Arabidopsis thaliana: one gene and its partner. The protein of the gene in region 2 interacts with the protein of the main gene of each other region in a biochemical or structural test. Each region holds a gene or a part of one and is shown on either strand. Other genes may lie near its edges. The genes, in order: SPX1 and PHR1.

Region 1 (8,346 bases), on a different chromosome or scaffold from region 2:
ACAAAAGCAAATGCTACCAATACAACAGACTACAAAATGTAGGAGAAATTTGGTGAAAGCATTATTGTGGTGGGATAAGGGAGAGGAAGAGAGAGCGATGGGACACGTAACGAGGCTATTGATAAACCCTTCGTCTTCCTCGCCACTTCTCCACCTCCGTTGTTGCCACCGGACTCTTGACCCTAACTCTGTCTTCTCTCTTCGAACCTCAATCACCAAAAGCAAGGGACGATTCTCTTGTCTTTTCTCCGGCGGCAACCAGAGAGAGGTTAGTTTTCTTACTTACTTCCCTTGATTCTTCGAAAGGACAAATCTTGTAGAATCTGCTGAACCCAATCAGAGCGTACATAACATGGGGTCGAATTGTCTGACTCTTTTTGAATGGTCTTACTCAATTAATTATGCTTGTTACTGATAAGGTTCTGAACAAGTTTAGCAGCTCAACTCTTAGCTATATGTCTACTGTATCTAGTCTAGGACTGGGTGTAGCAGATTAGATCCGCTGTGAGTTAGATTCGAGAGTAGGAGTTTCATAAGTTTGTGTTGATTGGCCATTTGGCTGAGAGTTTCAAGTTCCTCTTTAATCAACTCTCTCTGGTTTGGTGAATTCGTATGAGAATAGCAGTTGGTTAGCAATAACTTCATTCCAGGAAGTACAAAAACCCACACTTTCTATCTCTCTGAATGAAAAGTTTTATGACAGAGCGACAAAACTAAAGAGAGACAGATAAGAGGTAGCTTCATGATTTGGTGGCTAATACTCTGCCGTTCGATTTCCTTGATTGTGCAGGAGCAAGCTCGTAAATCATTGGAAAGCGCTCTTGGTGGGAAGAAGAATGAGTTTGAGAAGTGGGACAAAGAGATCAAGAAAAGAGAAGAATCCGGTGGCGGAAATGGTGGTAAAGGTGGAGGAGGAGGAGGTTGGTTTGGAGGTGGTGGTTGGTTTAGTGGCGACCATTTCTGGAAAGAGGCACAACAGATTGCCTTTACCCTCTTAGCAATACTTGCCGTGGTATGCTTTAAGTAAATGTATTTGGTCTTTCATGAATAAGACTTTTTGTTGTTGATGGTTTTGAATTGTTTAATGGTTGCTGCAGTATATGGTGGTTGCGAAAGGTGAAGTCATGGCTGCATTTGTGTTAAACCCGTTGTTGTATGCGTTGCGAGGAACACGGGAAGGTTTGTCTTCTCTAAGCTCCAAACTCATGGGAAGAGAAGCTTCCAAAGTGAGTGGTGACAACTCAGAGGAGATGTGGAAGAAGGAAGGTTCCACTGCTAAAGAGAGCGTTGTCCGGAAATGGGGAAGTGACTGAAACACAATTCTTAAAGCTGACTCAAGAAGAATGACTTTGGGTGTTTTTGTAACATCAAGATGAGATAATATGCAATCGACCTTTTCAGTTTTGTAATGGAGGATAGGTATTTTCTGTGAACAAGAAAGAGTGACTCTGTTTGTAACTTCCATCATCCATTTTTTTAACATCAAGAGGAGAGCAAATATGTCTCATAGATAAATGCTTGTCCACAAATAATGAGCAAGCTTAATGTTGTAGCCTGTAGGTTTGTGTCTATACAGCTTTTCTGTCGTCGCAATCTTAAAATTATAAAGTAGATGGAACCTCTACATACGTCTTATGGTAACATTTGGCCAAGCTCTAGCTAATCCAGACTGAAATCTTCAAGCCATATGATAACTTCGTTCCTCTGCAAATGCAAGACAATCACAAAGAACAGATGAGAGCCACGAATCAGACGAAAATGATAGAACCTGCGACTGAAGACAATGATCAAACCATCATTTGGGTATGTCATGATGATAATAATTAAAAGAAATAAGACTAATAGATGGTTTCTAACTAGACATCAAATATTGCTAAAGCTTGGAATCATACCATTATGAAGTTCCATGTTCGTCCTGGATCGTTGTAACGAGCAAGCATACAACCTTTCTTAGCTCTCAGACCATCTTTACTCAGACTGCTCCTCAGTTCATTCTCTTTTGCTTGGACAACATCCTCTGTCGGTTTACCACTGAATTTCACTGCTGCAGCAAAACCGCCTTCCAACTTCTTCAAATTTACCTTTTCTTCATTAGGCATTGGTAAGCTAGAGGAAAAAGGAAAGCAAAACCATTCTCATCACACAATGATTCTCATTAACCATATCTGATGTCAACTAAAAAACTATCCATGATAAGGCTTTACCTGCTAAGATCTTTTCCTGATGGAATAACAATTTGTACAGAGACATCAGAAGAGAGTTGAGTATCTGTTGTTTGAGTAAACACTGGAGTTGTCATTGGTATTTTCTCCATGGTCGAGTTCTTTCCAAATATGTAGCTTCATAGGTAAAAAAGCTAGCATGTGTTACATTTATCAAAATAAAACAAGATGCCAGAAGAATTTATGGACACTCACAGAAACTTAGACTTAACCCTCACCCAGCAACATTGTTGAAACCTGAAGAACCAGAAAGCTTGTCACCAATTGTCTCCACCACAATGAAGGGCTCATAGTTTCTAACCTGCCAAACAATCAAATCCAACTTAAGGCAAGCAACCACATTTGCATAGTTGGTTCCATTAAGCCAATACATGAAGATATGTGACCTCATAGTTTGCTGTTCTTTTCAGTATTTGATACTTTGGAGTTTCCAAGTCTGGCGTTTTATATATCCGTAACTGCAAAAAAAGGTAGTACTTGTAAGATATGATTAACCATTTCTAAGGGGGCTCAATTCATGCCAAATGCCAAGAAAGCAACCTGCTTAAAAACATCAACAAGACCTTCAAGAGAAAAGTAGTCATTGTTCTTGATAGAATCCCACAAGTCCTGCACAACATCTACTTGTAATAAGTAGACCATACCACAATAGATTTTGGAAGAAGGACATGGCAACCATACATACCAGATGACTACAAAATTTGTTAGTTTCAGGATTAACTTCCATGATTGATAATCCAGTGAAGACAAGTTCTGGTTTCCATGGTAAAGGTATGAACTTCATCACCATTGTCCATCTCGTAGTGATCTCATATGGACCTGTCTATATATCAGCTGCATCAGTGAACTTAAAAAAAACTAGAATTAAAGAAATCAAATGATAAACAAAAGTTAGCAAAGACCTGTTTAGCCCAGTGAAGCTGAAACTGAGGAGTGAAGATATTCTTGAGGAAAGCAATGTTGAAGAGATAGCCAGAGATGGTGTCGTGCTTAGTGATTGGGTCTCTGAACTTCACGCGCTCATCGTACGCCGTTTTATCGATTCCTTGGTCGTCGAAAAGGTGAGGAAGATCCTCGTACAAGAATCCGACGAGCTCTTCCATGTTCACTGTCGACGGTGCTGAAGCCACTTCCTTGCCCACCTCAAGACTCAAAATTGGCCGTAGACGAGTGGTTACGTTGCGTCTCGGAACAGGGAGGAAACGGGTGGTTACATGCCGCCGGCAGTCACTTCCGACGGCGGTGAGTATTGGCCGGTAAAGCTGCTGATTAACGGTAGCCATTGATCGTTGATAAAAAAGTTTTCTGCTCTATTTTATTTCTTGTGGTTGTTCGCTTTCATTTAACAATCGGTTCTTTTTTGGTACTGTCGGTTCGGTTTGGTTCTGGTTTTATTTACGAACCAAACTAAATTTGTTTCGGTTAAAATTCAGATTTTTTTTTCACTCTTTAGGCTTTTTTCATTATGGAACTTTGACTTAACGAGGCCCATTCCATTTGGGCTACTGGAGGGAACTTAACTCCAACAATGGATTACTTTGCTTGCATACATTAATTACATACGTACCCAGAAATGAGACAGAGACACGAAAGTTTCGATTATACGGCAAAGTAAATATTGTTTTAGTTTATCCGTCAAAGATTGTAAAGAATACGACGACCATGTCATAAGGATTTGGACTTTGGTTGTTTGACTAATAAACTGATAGTCTTCTTAATAAATATAAATTGACAAGTTGTAAAATCAGCAGAATTTGCTGCATATAGACAATGTCAAATGGACCGGTGGTTTATCCTAAATGTCAAAATCAGAAGCTAATAATGAGCAAATGTGAATGAATTAAGACGCGAATCGGGAAAATTCAATAAATTGTCCATTGGGGGGTGCTTTAAAGAAAGATTGAAAGATGCCGAGGTTTATACCCTTTTCCTATCAAGAATATTCCATGGAATCCAACTACTTTTGACCCATTTGCGTATTTGTTAAATCTTTTCAGAAAATCAAAAGTGGGTAAATTGTCAAACTAGTTGTAGTATTGAACTACTATTTATTGATCATGCCATCATCATGGAGAGACAGATATGATCATGAAGACCAAACGTCCACGTATTTATGTCATGACGACAATCTGAGCTGGATTTGAGGATATCTGTAACTGTAAATACTATATCCAATATTCATTTTTTTTACTTTGCAATTCGTTTTTGATTAAATCTAAAAATGCAAAAAAAATAAAAAATCACTACTACATAGTGTATCTGCATGTATAAATAGACATATATTTTTAAAAAGATGATTTAATACATACTGTACATAGTTATGAAGATATCATGAACATATATAGACAATACCAAATAAGGAAATCTAATATCGTAAAATATTTAAATATCAGATGAATACAGTACAAACTCTAAAGAAAATGAATCAAGATATTAGTACGATACCCATACGAATTTAGAAAAAAATGAATCAGATAAATGGATATAAAATCTGTAATATTATTTTTCTTTTTTTGGACAGCAAATCTGTAATAATAAGTATTGGATAAATAAATTGGCATGTGAGTTGTGATTGATATTTATGAACTGACATAGGCATGTGTTATAATCTCACCCACAGATAACCACGAAAAAGTAATAAATAAGAAAGGAATAAAAGGAAGATATTCTCCCGAAAGAAAGACAGAGAAAAAAGGATATTCTAATTAGAAACCTTAAGAATATTCTTTTTAATCCCTTTTATATCTCTAAACCTCTTCCCCCTCTCTTTCTTCTTCATTCATCATTCTCACTTAAGTTTCCCAGAAAATAAAAGAGCTATGAAGTTTGGTAAGAGTCTCAGCAATCAGATCGAGCAAACTCTTCCTGAATGGCAAGACAAGTTCTTGTCTTACAAAGAACTCAAAAAACGACTCAAACTCATCGGTTCCAAAACCGCCGATCGTCCCGTTAAACGACTCCGTTTAGATGAGTTTTCCGTCGGAATATCGAAAGAAGAGATCAATTTCATCCAATTGTTAGAAGACGAGTTGGAGAAATTCAACAATTTCTTCGTTGAGAAGGAAGAAGAATATATCATCAGACTAAAGGTAATATAAACAACATTTCGAATCCGATTCCTAAAAATGATCATCTCTTTTTCTAATGTGTCTCTGTCTGTACAAAAACAGGAATTTAGAGATAGAATTGCGAAAGCTAAGGATTCAATGGAGAAGATGATAAAAATCAGGAAGGAGATTGTTGATTTCCATGGAGAAATGGTTCTTCTTGAGAATTACAGTGCTCTTAATTACACTGGTAATTTAATTTAATTGCCTCATTAAGACTTAATCTTATTATTAGTAGTAGAACAAAACGTTGATGAATGGTTTGTTGAAACAACAGGATTGGTTAAGATACTGAAGAAGTATGACAAAAGAACTGGTGATCTCATGCGTTTACCTTTCATCCAGAAAGTTCTTCAGCAACCTTTTTACACTACTGACTTATTGTTCAAGCTTGTCAAGGAATCTGAGGCAATGCTTGATCAGATCTTCCCTGCTAACGAAACTGAGTCTGAGATTATCCAAGCAGAGTTATCAGAGCATAAGTTCATGGAGAGTCTTCATATGAAGAGCACAATCGCTGCCTTGCGGGTTTTGAAGGAGATCAGGAGTGGAAGTTCTACTGTTAGTGTGTTTTCATTGCCGCCTCTACAGTTAAATGGCTTAGATGAGACATGGAAGAAGATTCCATTGTTGGAGCAAGAAGCCAAATAGAGAGTGAGACAGAGGCACACTCGCTCTATTCCACTTTTTTATACAATAGAAGAAGCTAACAGATTAAACAAGACATTATCATCAATGTACACAAAAAGGCAGAAGAAACTATAGGATCATGTTTCTGGATATCATCTTTGGTCGGTCATAAGTCCTTAGGTTACACAAAACTGCAATGTAACTTTGTTTCTGTGTTGGGTGTGTTGTAGTTGATGTAATATATACCACTTCAGATTAATTATTGATTTCTTCTTTTCCAAAGTCATATGCTAGATATTTCAAGTTCTCTACTACTACATATACAAGTTCATAATCCTCTTCAAGAAGAAATGATGACTGCAAATGATACTAGTGACTCGATCTCAATTCAAGGTAAGACTTTGCATAATGCAACAGACCAATTGATTTCGTATTCAATCTCAATTCAAGTCCTTCAATTTTTATTTCAATTTTTTTGTTCGTTTTGTGATAGATATCAAAACAAGTTCTTATAAATAACACAATGATTCGCTACAAACCAAAACCAGAAACCAACACAAATTCTTAAGAAACCAAGTTGCAGAAAAGTGAATTACGTTACAAACTTGAAGAGAAGATAGTAGAATAATGGACGGTTTTTGATTTGGTAGTTGCCTAAACAAAACTTCAGTCAAAGCCTTCCCATTCGCGGAGACCCATCATACCGAGCAATCAATTCAGAGAATGCCTTAGATCAGAAGCTTCTCAATAGCATCCTGAAGAAATGTAAAAAAAGAGTTAATGATTAACCAATTCTGTGGAATCAATGATGGTTCAAGGTTATAAAGAGAGTACACAAGTGAGGGCTAAGTTACCTTGAGATGTTGAATCTGTGATTTCAATTGACTAGCTTCGTTAGATGTGACTGAACAAGCGATAACAGGTCTAGTCACACCACAGGCTCTTCCCAAGGCTTGCTTTGAAGGCACAAAGACATAAGGAACATTCTACAAAACATTCACAAAGAAAGTAAGAATATAGAAAACTAGTATATAAGAACAACAAAGCATTACAGAATCAAAAACATACAAGCTAAACAAAATCATAAAAGACAATCATAAAGCTGTCATTTTAAACTCCAACAAGTATGAAATCAGAGTTTAGTTAACAAAATGATATACAAAACTTGGCTGAACATTGGCACAAACTAATCAAACTATATCCTCAGCAAGTAAACTTAATTCTCTTCTATGAACTAAGGAAACAAATATCTCATTTGCTAAATAAACTGGTGTATAATAAAAGAGAAACCCAGAGAAAGAAGAAGTCAAACCTTATCCTCAGCAAGTAGGGGAAGATGAAGAAGAATCTCTAGAGGCTCAGCATCTGCAGCCATGACAACAAACTCGGAGATTCCACGATTAAGAGTCTTCGTAGCTGAAATGAACAAATTTAAATAAATCAGGAACAACTTCACAAACATTAAACTCAATAAATAAGAGAGACAAACACACATGAGTAACAAGCGGATACCTTCATTAGCACCCTTCTTGAGCTGCTTGTAGTTAGTAGCTTGTTGAACGAGGTCAAGAATTGTTATCGATAACTGAGAATCTGCAAGCGGATACGCTTTAGGGTTGACGACTTCTCCGGTCTGCAAGAAGAAACGAAAACAAAAACAAATTAAAACCCAAATCAGACAATCAAAGAGTAAGATTCCTTCGAAAACACTGCAAGATAATACCGAAAAGAAGAAAGAGGAAGAGAGAAGTACCATTTTCAGCTGCGATGTCTAGGGTTTCAGAGAGGATTAGGGTTTTAGAGGCTACGACTTTCTCAGCTTGAATATTCTGAATGATAACTTAGGCTTACGCTGTTACTTATATGCTTGTCGATTTTATACATCTTTTTAATGGGCCTGGGTGATGATATACTTCGGCCCATGTGAACTAACCTTAACCGACAGAACTAGTTTTGACTTTGGGAGTTTGGTTTTTTAGTTTCTTCTTTTGTCGGCGAAATTTTGATTAAAGCCCAAAAGGGTAACCATGACTTCACCTTTGTTCTTTTTGCTCGCATAAAACTGATCGATTATCCAAATTGACTGATAATTTTACAGCTACCACACACACAACAAACTTTTATTAACTGATGCTCTCATTAGTTCAATGAAATTAGTAAACTTGAAGTTACGTATGTGATTACTCTCTTCCTTTACGACAAAGATGCGTTTTATTAGCTGGTTCTGGTGTCTTATGCTCTACTAATTTCTATGGTTGAGCTTTATGGACTTGTCTCCACATTAAAATAACAGACACAATTTGTTCCAAATACAAGACCATATCCATAATCCAAAGAGGATAATATTCTACTCTTTCAGTTTCATCAACAACCCCTTGGAATCTTTT
Region 2 (9,497 bases):
GTCAATTTCGATTCTGAAATTTCGAGCCTTTTTGGTTACTGTACTTAGTTAGAATCCCCAAAGTTCTCGACTTTCTCGCGGATTCACTTTTTCTTGAGGGGGGGTGAGTTCTTAAAGTTGAAATGCTGAAATTATTGTCACTGTTCTTTCTCGAAATATGTTCAATGATTTTTGAGTTCTCGGCGTTAGTTTTTAGGAATTGGATACATCAAGATTTTGATCATATAATGTTCTGTTATATTTTGCATTATGTGAATATTTCTTATCTGTTTCTGTTATGTTTGATCCAAATCTTAATATCATTATTGTCTCTGATGTCATTTTGAAGATCATTGAGAAGTTATGAAGAACAGCGAGATTAGGCCTGAGAAGTTGCATTTACGTAAACTAAGAAAAAGTTTGAGGAAGATCAGAATGAAGTGTTTGTGTTCTGGTGAACAAATGAGGCATAGAGAAGAAGAAGACAAGAAATCTGAGGTTGGAGTTGGTAGAGACTACAATGGAAGCTCAGCTTTATCGACCGCAGAAAGCGAGAATGCTAAGAAACTAGATAATGGAAATATCGAAGAAGCCGAGTTATCTCTGCGTGAGACGAGTTCATTGAACTACGAGGTTTGATTTCTTGGTCACTCTTGAGCTTTGTTTGATTGGACAAGCTTAGCCATTGTGTTGTTGTTTCAGGAGGCGAGAGCGCTTTTGGGAAGAATTGAGTATCAGAAAGGAAATATAGAGGCGGCATTGCGAGTCTTTGAAGGGATAGATATCAATGGTATCACAGTAAAGATGAAAACCGCTCTAACCGTTAGAGAAGACCGGAAACATAGAAGACGGTCTAAAGGCGGCTTTTCTACTGCTCCTTCACCTGCCATGTCTAAACATGCTGTTAGTTTACTTTTCGAAGCTATTTTTCTCAAAGCCAAGTCTCTCCAGCGTCTTGGAAGGTTCCAAGGTAGTAACAGTCATTTCTCTTAATCCGTGTTTGGTTTTGTTTTTGGCTAAACAGAAATATCATGTGCTTCTTCTTGCAGAAGCTGCGGAGTCTTGCAGAGTTATTCTTGATATAGTCGAGACTTCTTTAGCAGAAGGTGCGTCGGATAATGTGACTGGAGATATTAAGTTGCAGGAGACACTGACAAAAGCGGTTGAGCTGCTTCCTGAGTTGTGGAAGCTTGCTGATTCACCTCGTGATGCTATTTTGTCGTATAGAAGAGCGCTTCTCAATCACTGGAAACTCGATCCAGAAACCACGGCGAGGATACAGAAAGAGTACGCAGTGTTTCTCCTCTATTCCGGGGAAGAAGCAGTGCCGCCAAACCTACGTTCTCAGACTGAGGGCTCATTCATTCCGAGGAACAATGTGGAAGAAGCTATTCTTCTTCTGATGTTACTTCTCAGGAAAGTTAATCTGAAAAGAATCTCATGGGATGCGGCAATCTTGGACCATCTCTCGTTCGCTCTTACAATCGCAGGCGATCTAACCGCTCTGGCTAAGCAGTTTGAAGAGCTTAGTCCTGAGCTCTTGGATCAGAGGGAACTTTATCATACATTGTCTTTGTGTTACCAAGGTGCAGGAGAAGGTCTTGTTGCGTTAGGTTTACTGAGGAAGCTATTTTCAGAACGAGAGGATCCAAACAGGACTTCGGGTTTGCTGATGGCTTCCAAAATATGCGGTGAGAGGTCTGGTCTTGCTGAGGAAGGGTTAGATTATGCCCGGAAAGCTATCGGAAACTTGGGGAAGGAATGCAGTCAATTAGATGGAGCAGCGCGTTTCGTTTTAGGGATCACGCTCACGGAAAGCTCTAGAATGGCTGTTACAGAGACTGAGAGGATAGCTAGGCAATCCGAGGGGATTCAGGCCCTGGAATCTGCAGATATGACAAACCCGAGGGTTGTGCACCGTCTTGCGTTGGAGAATGCAGAACAGAGGAAACTGGATTCTGCATTAGCATATGCTAAAGAGGCGTTGAAACTTGGAGCAGAGTCTGATCTTGAAGTATGGTTACTTTTGGCTCGGGTTTTATCTGCACAGAAGCGGTTTTCAGACGCGGAGACCATTGTGGATGCAGCGCTTAACGAGACAGGGAAATGGGAACAGGGGAAGCTGTTACGTTTGAAGGCAAAGCTTCGTTTAGCTAAAGGAGAAGTGAAAGATGCGATTAAGACTTACACACAACTTCTAGCACTCCTTCAGGTTCAAAGCAAAAGCTTCAATTCTGCAAAGAAGCTGCCTAAGGTAACATTTTCGTATGTTCTGATTTCTCTACCAAAGTTGTGAGTTGTGCAGAATTAACACTGAAACAGATTTATTCATTACAGGGATATGTAAAGGAATTGATGAGTCTGGAGCTTGGGACGTGGCACGATCTGGCTCATATTTACATAAACCTCTCGCAATGGCGTGACGCAGAGTCATGTCTCTCGAGATCAAGACTCATTGCACCTTACTCTTCTGTTAGATACCACATTGAAGGTATTACCTTCTTCTCTACTTCCATTTAGACTTGGAGTGTTTGTTTGTCTTTTTGAAACAAGCAAGGCGGTAATATTGATAGCTTATTCGTACCGATTGGCAGGTGTACTGTACAATAGACGGGGGCAATTAGAAGAAGCAATGGAGGCGTTCACAACCGCTCTTGACATAGATCCGATGCACGTCCCAAGCTTAACATCGAAGGCTGAGATACTGCTGGAGGTCGGTAACCGATCAGGCATAGCGGTTGTTAGAAGCTTTCTAATGGAGGCTCTTAGGATTGATAGGCTGAACCACTCGGCTTGGTACAATCTTGGAAAGATGTTCAAAGCTGAAGGGTCCGTCTCGTCGATGCAAGAAGCCGTTGAGTGTTTTCAAGCCGCCGTTACTTTGGAGGAAACAATGCCAGTGGAGCCATTCAGATGATTTTGCCCTCTCAAATCATATTTTTTTTGTCTTTGGTTATGATTTCTCCTTTTCTGATTCTTTTTTTTTGTGTTTGTTTTTGATAGATGAATATAAGAAGATATAAAGATGTATGTGTACGAGTATATCATTTGATGTCAAGTTTATAAACATTTTGTAATACACAGTTAAACAAAAATTAATATAGGTTTTGGTGAGGTAAATTTTATAAGCCAGGTTTACTATTTACTCATAAAAGATTATAAATTTTTCGGAGAAAACTTTTCAGGTTTGATATTCTAAAAAAGATTAACATAAGAAATCTGTAGCTGTAAAACTAATGATGAGTTAAGCATTTAGATTACACTGAATGATGAAGATTCTCCCAAACTAACTTTTTATTTTTGTTTTGTTTCTTCCTTGGGGATCTGTTGTTTGTCTACACAGCTGAGTTGAGAGTCTTCCATCAGAAAAATAGTTAAACAGTAAAGAGAGAAGTCCTGAAGAACCTCAAGATAAGAGCTCGTTCTCTCTATCACTGTTAACTCTGAAACTCCGAGATTATCCAGCAAAAGACCAATACTTTCAATTATCGATTTTGGGACGCTTTGGCTGTGGAGATTCTAGTTCCTCACATTTCCTGGTTTCTTCTTCTGGAACCTCCTTCGAATCAGCAGTCTTCTTGTCTTCTTGTTCAGATTTGGCTGCGGAATCTGATGTTGAGGCTGTCCCTTTGGTAAGACCAGAGTTTTGCTTCTCGAACATCATTTGCAGGTACTTGCCTTGTTCTTCTATTCGGAGTTGCAGGTTTCTTTGAATCTGCAGGCAAAGGAAAAGAACACATGTCATACCCAAATTCAGAATACTTTATAAACAGGTTTCACATTTTCTCTTTAGCAGCTACAATCCAAACACATAAGTATAAAAAACCAAAGCTAATGGCAATGCCTTTATGAACATACCTCGAGCTGCTCATGGAGTTGCTTCTGTACTTCCATCTGAAGTCGTAGAGCCTCTGTAATACCTATCCCACTGCAGTATAAATATGTATGAGGTAAGAATCAGTTAAAAATGGTGTAGCGTGTAGCATTGTGATGTTAACCGACAAGAAAACCTTACCCTTTCAAATCAAGAGATGTTATATGTTCAAGCGGTGTCAACTTCCTTTCTGGCGAACCTGTAGTGATCAAAGAAACTTTAGTTTTTACATTGAATTCTTCAGGTAAAATCATCAACGAAGATGGGAATGAGTTCGGTATTTACCAGTTTCTGATGGTTCTGGCCGATATCTAGCTGTCCTATATTTCTGAAAAACACAATCTAATATTAGAAGACAATTATATGCATTAGCAGGGAACTAAAGAATAGTAAGAACCTGTAAATGGCTTTTAACATGATATATAGTCAAGCCTTCAACTTTCATAATCTTCAGTACCCCTTTAGGAGTAGCTCCTGAGTAAAATATAAAGAAAAAGTTATTATCTTTCCATATACAATTCAAAGTTTATGGAAAGCAAAGAGAAATAAATGCTCACTTTCACTACCGCCAAGACTGTTGACAGCCTCAACAAAAGCCTCGTGAAGCTCTGGCGTCCAACGCATTCGTGCCTTGCCCGTTCCGTTATTGCTGTTTGAAGATGTTGTGCTAACAGGTCGCAATTCCACAGACGGAGAAGGTTGCTGCTGAACAATCTGAGGTTGCGGAATTTGCAGTGTCTTCTGGTCCTAAAAAAGTGTGTCCAGTATTGAACAACTTGAGAATACAGATATCAAATAGAAACAAAGTAAAAACTTGGAACAAGAAACTATAACAACCTTTGAATCTGAATTGGAATTTGTTTCAAGCAAGAGATCATTCCAGTTAGTAGACATCAAAGGATCATCATCAGTGATCAAATGGTCAGCCCATTCATGCCAATCACTTCGTTTTTGAATGTCATCAAAAGCAGCCGCAATGCCACCATCCTCAATCTGACAGTTGTTTTGAATCGCCGGGTTGGTTTCATGGAAGTCAAGAAACCCTCCTGGCAATGAATCATGACACCAAGCACTATCGTTGTTGCTTGGTGTCTGCACAGCATTATTACTGCTGCTTCCTGTGTAGTGTTGTTGTTTCTCATGAGATACCATAGTTGAGTAATGGAGATTGGTTGCAAAACCAGATGATGAAGAAGAACATATATGTCCAACAGCTCCACCGTTACTAGATGAAAGTAAATGGTAGGTTTGTCCTAATGGTCTAGACATTAACTGACTGTTGTTATCTGATCTCATGAAACTATCTTCTACTGGTGAAGGTTTTTGTGTAGATGGGATTGAAGAAGTGCGTGTGAGGTCTCTCGAACCTGATCTATGAACTGGACGAGCCTCCATTGTTGTCCTGCAAGAGAGAATCATTATCCAACCAAACATCAACTTCGCTGGAAAAACAAAACCAAATCGAATCCGAACTATGCTCGAAAGATATAAATTCTCTGTCTCTATCTCTCTGTGGATTACCAAAAGGCAAAGGAGAAGGATCGAAAATTCTCACCTAGAAATTCATGAAGCAATCCAGGACCAAGGAAGACGAATCGAATCGGAGAAAATGATTATGAGGATTCTCCTCTTGGGGATAATCGGAGAATCGTCTTGTCCGCAAGAGAAAAGTTGACGGTGGTGATGATTTTCTTCGCCTTCTTGTTAATTTCGGAGGTGGTGGCTGTCTTAAACAAAGGGATCAGCCGTCGTTTTTTTCACGCTCGGTGAAACAGCGCGTGAGTATGACTCGCTTGTCGGGATCTACGTGGACGTTGTTTATTGGATAATTGGGATCGTGTATTGGGCTTGATCTTTTTCGTTTTTATTTATTAAATTTTTTCTGGTGTCTATATTTTCTGCTCTTTCACTCTCTTAAAAGGCTATATAAAGGCCCAAAGTGGCTTTTTGATTCATAGTTTTACAAAATTCACACCTCCAATTTACTGTTTTGTTGTGTCCATAATTTAGCGTATCTGCCAGATTTCCCCAACAACACTTCGTGTGTCCCTTTTTCCACCACTTTTCCTTTCTCCATTACTAATATCTCATCACATTGCATTGCAGTGGTCAGTCTATGTGCAATGAAAATGCAAGTCCTGTTACTCGCTAGCGACCTCAGCGTTTTCATTATCTCTGCCTCGGTTTTACTGTCGAGTGCACTTGTTGCTTCGTCACACAATAGGATTGCTGGTGATTTCAGAAATGCACGAGCAAGTGCCACCCTCTGTTTCTCTCCACCACTCAGCATCAGCCCTCTTTCTCCCACCGCGGTCGAATATTTATCAGGGAATTTCATGATCGTATCGTGAATCGCTGCTCGTCGAGCTGCATTGTACACCTCTTCCTCTGTTGCTGAAAGGTTTCCATAGTGAATGTTGTGAAATATAGTGTCGTTAAAGAGCACCTGCCATGTGAATTAAGGTTAATGATACGAATATTTATGATTGGTATATATGCCTGATAATGATATTAAATTTGTATATGGAAGTTACTTTGAAGTCATGCAATTTGTAGAAAAGTGACATGTTACATTTTAAACTACCAAAACGTATGAAAAAGGCCATGATATTAAAATAAAGATTTTAGTTACAATTAAGAAGCATTTTGCAGTGTCAATATCATTTCCTTCATGATTTATGTAGTAAACGTGATTGTAATACAAAAGAGTATACAGTACTAATAATCAAACCCCAATCTGTAACCATATGCTAACATACTAAAAACCGGTTTAGACTCATAACAACAAAATGTAAGAGCTAGCAAAATTTATAGTGAAAATGGCAACTTACAGTATCTTGAGGGACAACTCCAATGGAGCTTCTAAGACTCTCTAGTCTCACTTCCTTTATATCCTGACCATCAATTTTTACATTTCCGGAATCTACATCAAAGAACCTGAATATCATTCTAAGAATAGTCGATTTTCCGCTTCCGCTACTACCGACAATCGCCACACTTTTCCCTGCCGGTACCTCAAATGAAATCCCATCTAAAATCTTTCTCTCCGGTAGATAACTAAAATGTACATTCTCAAAACTAATGCTTCCACCTTTCAGAACAAGAGGAGGGAGCTTCCTGTCTATATCTTTATCTCCGATATCAGATCTCTCCTCTAGAAACTTAAACATCGATTTCATGTCGACAAGTCCCTGAACGGTGTCGCTGTAAACAACCCCGAGAAAGTAAAGAGGAAGAGACAGTTGAAAGAGGAGACCATTCACCATCACCAAATCACCAACTGTCATCTGACCATTCATAATCCCCTGAGAACACAACACCATTGCTGTTGACAAAGCTGTACTAAATATAAAACTCTGTCCAAAATTTAATAAGGCAAAGCTTTTCCGACTTTGCAATGCAGCATCTTCGTAATTTTCGTGTAACTGATCGTACTTTCGAGCTTCGTAATCTTCGTTGTTGAAATACTTAACAGTCTCGTAGTTTATGAGAGAGTCAATGGCTCTGGTGCTAGCATCGTTTTCAGCTTCATTCATAGCTTTTCTAATCTTGATTCTCCACTGCGTCATAGCCAACGTGAATGCTATATATGATCCAACAGAAAGACAAGTAATCAATGCATAAACAGCTCCAAATTTGTATGCTAATATACATGAGACCATTGATATCTCCAAGATCGTGGGCATAATGTTGAAAACCATAGCTGAGAGAATCGTGTTTATAGCGCGGCTTCCACGATCAATGATTCTGTTCAAAGCACCTGTGTCTCTATTTAGATGGTAACGAAGATCGAGATCGTGTAAACGCGAGAGAACTTTTCTAGAGATGGTTCGTATGGTGCGGAGAGCTACTTTGGAGAAAACACTAGTACGAAGCTCGTTGAAAGCAGAAGAACCAGATCGAGCAATGCCATAACCAATGAGAACAGAGGAAGGAGTAGCGAAAGCAGCAACTAGGTAAGGGTTTGAATCAACGAATGAAGATGAAGAGAGCCAATCTATAGCTACTTTGAAGAGGAAAGGAACTTGAACATTCAAGAACTTAGCTCCCACGAGACACGCAAAAGCAGAGATGACTCTGAAACAGAGTTTTGGGTTGTCTTTCATCCATAGATAGCTTGAAATCATCCGAAGGATATTCTCCGACGACGTCCTGTTGATTTTCTCTGGATGTGGAGCTGAAGTTGAAGTGGAGAAGAACATGACGCGTGCGTTGACCATAGGAGTAATCGGGGATGGAGATTGATGAGATGCATTAGTAGGTGGAGATTCAAGAATTGAGTTACGTTTGATGAGCTTGAAGAAACTGTGGTGAAGATGATGATGATGATGATAACCAGAGCGAAGACGGTACGAAAGAGAAGTGCGACAGAGTTGGAGTTGAGAAACTCTCATCATTGCTTCTTGTCCTAACATATACAGTTTCGTCTGGTTCGTTTCTTATATTTCTGTAGAGTCGTCTGTTTGACTTTTTGCTCGACCTCTTTCTGAATCCAGTTTCGTACCATAGCACCTGAAGAAGAATAAGATTAAAAAATTACCTCTTGCTTGGAGATCTCAACTTGTTAATAACCTCCCCAGTCTTTGTTTACAATAAGATTATGAATTAGATATCTCGGAGATAACCGGTCCTGGTTCGATTGCCACGTGTTTTAGGCATGAGAACCGGATACTTCAAGGACTATTGGTTTTTATCCAATTCAATGATTCCAAAGGTAATACAAATAGCTTACTTTAAAACCGAATAACGAAACTTTTTGATTTGTCAAAAGGTAATTGAAAAAATCGGTTTGGTACCTCTACGACTATAAATGATTTTCCCAAGGTTACAAATATGTTTTATTTTTTGTAACAAGGCTACAAAGTACCATCAATGATATTTGCAAATATATGATTCCAAAAATAAGGGAAGTCAGCAAAAAAAAAGAATTAGTGAGGCGAAAACAGAACCCAAACACTAGCTGTCTAGCTCTTGAGATTCACACCTCCAGTGTACTGTTTTGTTGTGTCCATAATTTAGCGTATCTGCCAGATTTCTCCAACAACACTTGGTGTGTCCCTTTTTCCACCACTTTCCCTTTCTCCATTACTATTATCTCATCACATTGCATCGCAGTGGTCAGCCTATGTGCAATGAAAATGCATGTTCTGTTACTCGCTAGCGACCTGAACGTTTTCATTATCTCTGCCTCGGTTTTACTATCAAGCGCATTCGTTGCTTCGTCACACAAGAGAATCGCTGGTGATTTCAGAAAGGCACGAGCAAGTGCCACTCTTTGTTTTTCTCCACCACTCAGCATCAGCCCTCTTTCTCCCACCGCGGTCGAATATTTATCCGGAAATTTCATGATCGTATCGTGAATCACTGCTCGCCTAGCTGCATCGTACACCTCTTCTTCTGTTGCTGAAAGGTTTCCATAGTGAATGTTGTGAAATATTGTGTCATTGAAGAGCACCTGCCATAATTCCAGGAGTCAATTGAGGCTATGATTAGTCTAGTTTATCTTTAAGTATGCAAGTTATAACCATTAAATCGATTTGATATTAAAATGAAAATTAAGATCATCAGGTTTAATCAGAATCACTTTTGGAGTGTAAAATGTCATCTGCATGTGATTTATGTAGAAATTGTGACTGAATAACAA

The links.
Region 1: the proteins of PHR1 (region 2) and SPX1 form a complex in vitro, tested with the Arabidopsis thaliana proteins (one study listed by BioGRID).

Annotation. Positions count from the first base shown.
Region 1 is NC_003076.8:6,797,388-6,805,733, forward strand, and holds SPX1 (SPX domain-containing protein 1), read left to right. Parts: upstream 1-4,894; 5' UTR 4,895-5,041; coding exon 5,042-5,311; intron 5,312-5,392; coding exon 5,393-5,519; intron 5,520-5,606; coding exon 5,607-5,980; 3' UTR 5,981-6,268; downstream 6,269-8,346. Other genes in the region: AT5G20130 (sulfate adenylyltransferase subunit), read left to right, coding at 11-268, 791-1,012, 1,098-1,313; HBP5 (SOUL heme-binding family protein), read right to left, coding at 1,679-1,774, 1,893-2,106, 2,205-2,339, 2,441-2,523, 2,609-2,680, 2,763-2,831, 2,908-3,045, 3,125-3,505; AT5G20160 (Ribosomal protein L7Ae/L30e/S12e/Gadd45 family protein), read right to left, coding at 6,688-6,714, 6,814-6,945, 7,272-7,592, 7,713-7,715. UniProt on the Arabidopsis thaliana protein: Plays a positive role in plant adaptation to phosphate starvation. Inhibits PHR1 DNA-binding activity in a Pi-dependent manner.
Region 2 is NC_003075.7:14,129,704-14,139,200, forward strand, and holds PHR1 (phosphate starvation response 1), read right to left. Parts: upstream 5,590-9,497; 5' UTR 5,409-5,589; intron 5,256-5,408; 5' UTR 5,249-5,255; coding exon 4,691-5,248; intron 4,601-4,690; coding exon 4,411-4,600; intron 4,328-4,410; coding exon 4,251-4,327; intron 4,182-4,250; coding exon 4,139-4,181; intron 4,053-4,138; coding exon 3,995-4,052; intron 3,908-3,994; coding exon 3,838-3,907; intron 3,695-3,837; coding exon 3,461-3,694; 3' UTR 3,108-3,460; downstream 1-3,107. Other genes in the region: NPGR2 (no pollen germination related 2), read left to right, coding at 343-612, 682-949, 1,029-2,233, 2,302-2,470, 2,574-2,896; ABCB24 (ABC transporter of the mitochondrion 2), read right to left, coding at 5,823-6,299, 6,685-8,250; ABCB23 (ABC transporter of the mitochondrion 1), read right to left, coding at 8,832-9,308. UniProt on the Arabidopsis thaliana protein: Transcription factor involved in phosphate starvation signaling. Binds as a dimer to P1BS, an imperfect palindromic sequence 5'-GNATATNC-3', to promote the expression of inorganic phosphate (Pi) starvation-responsive genes.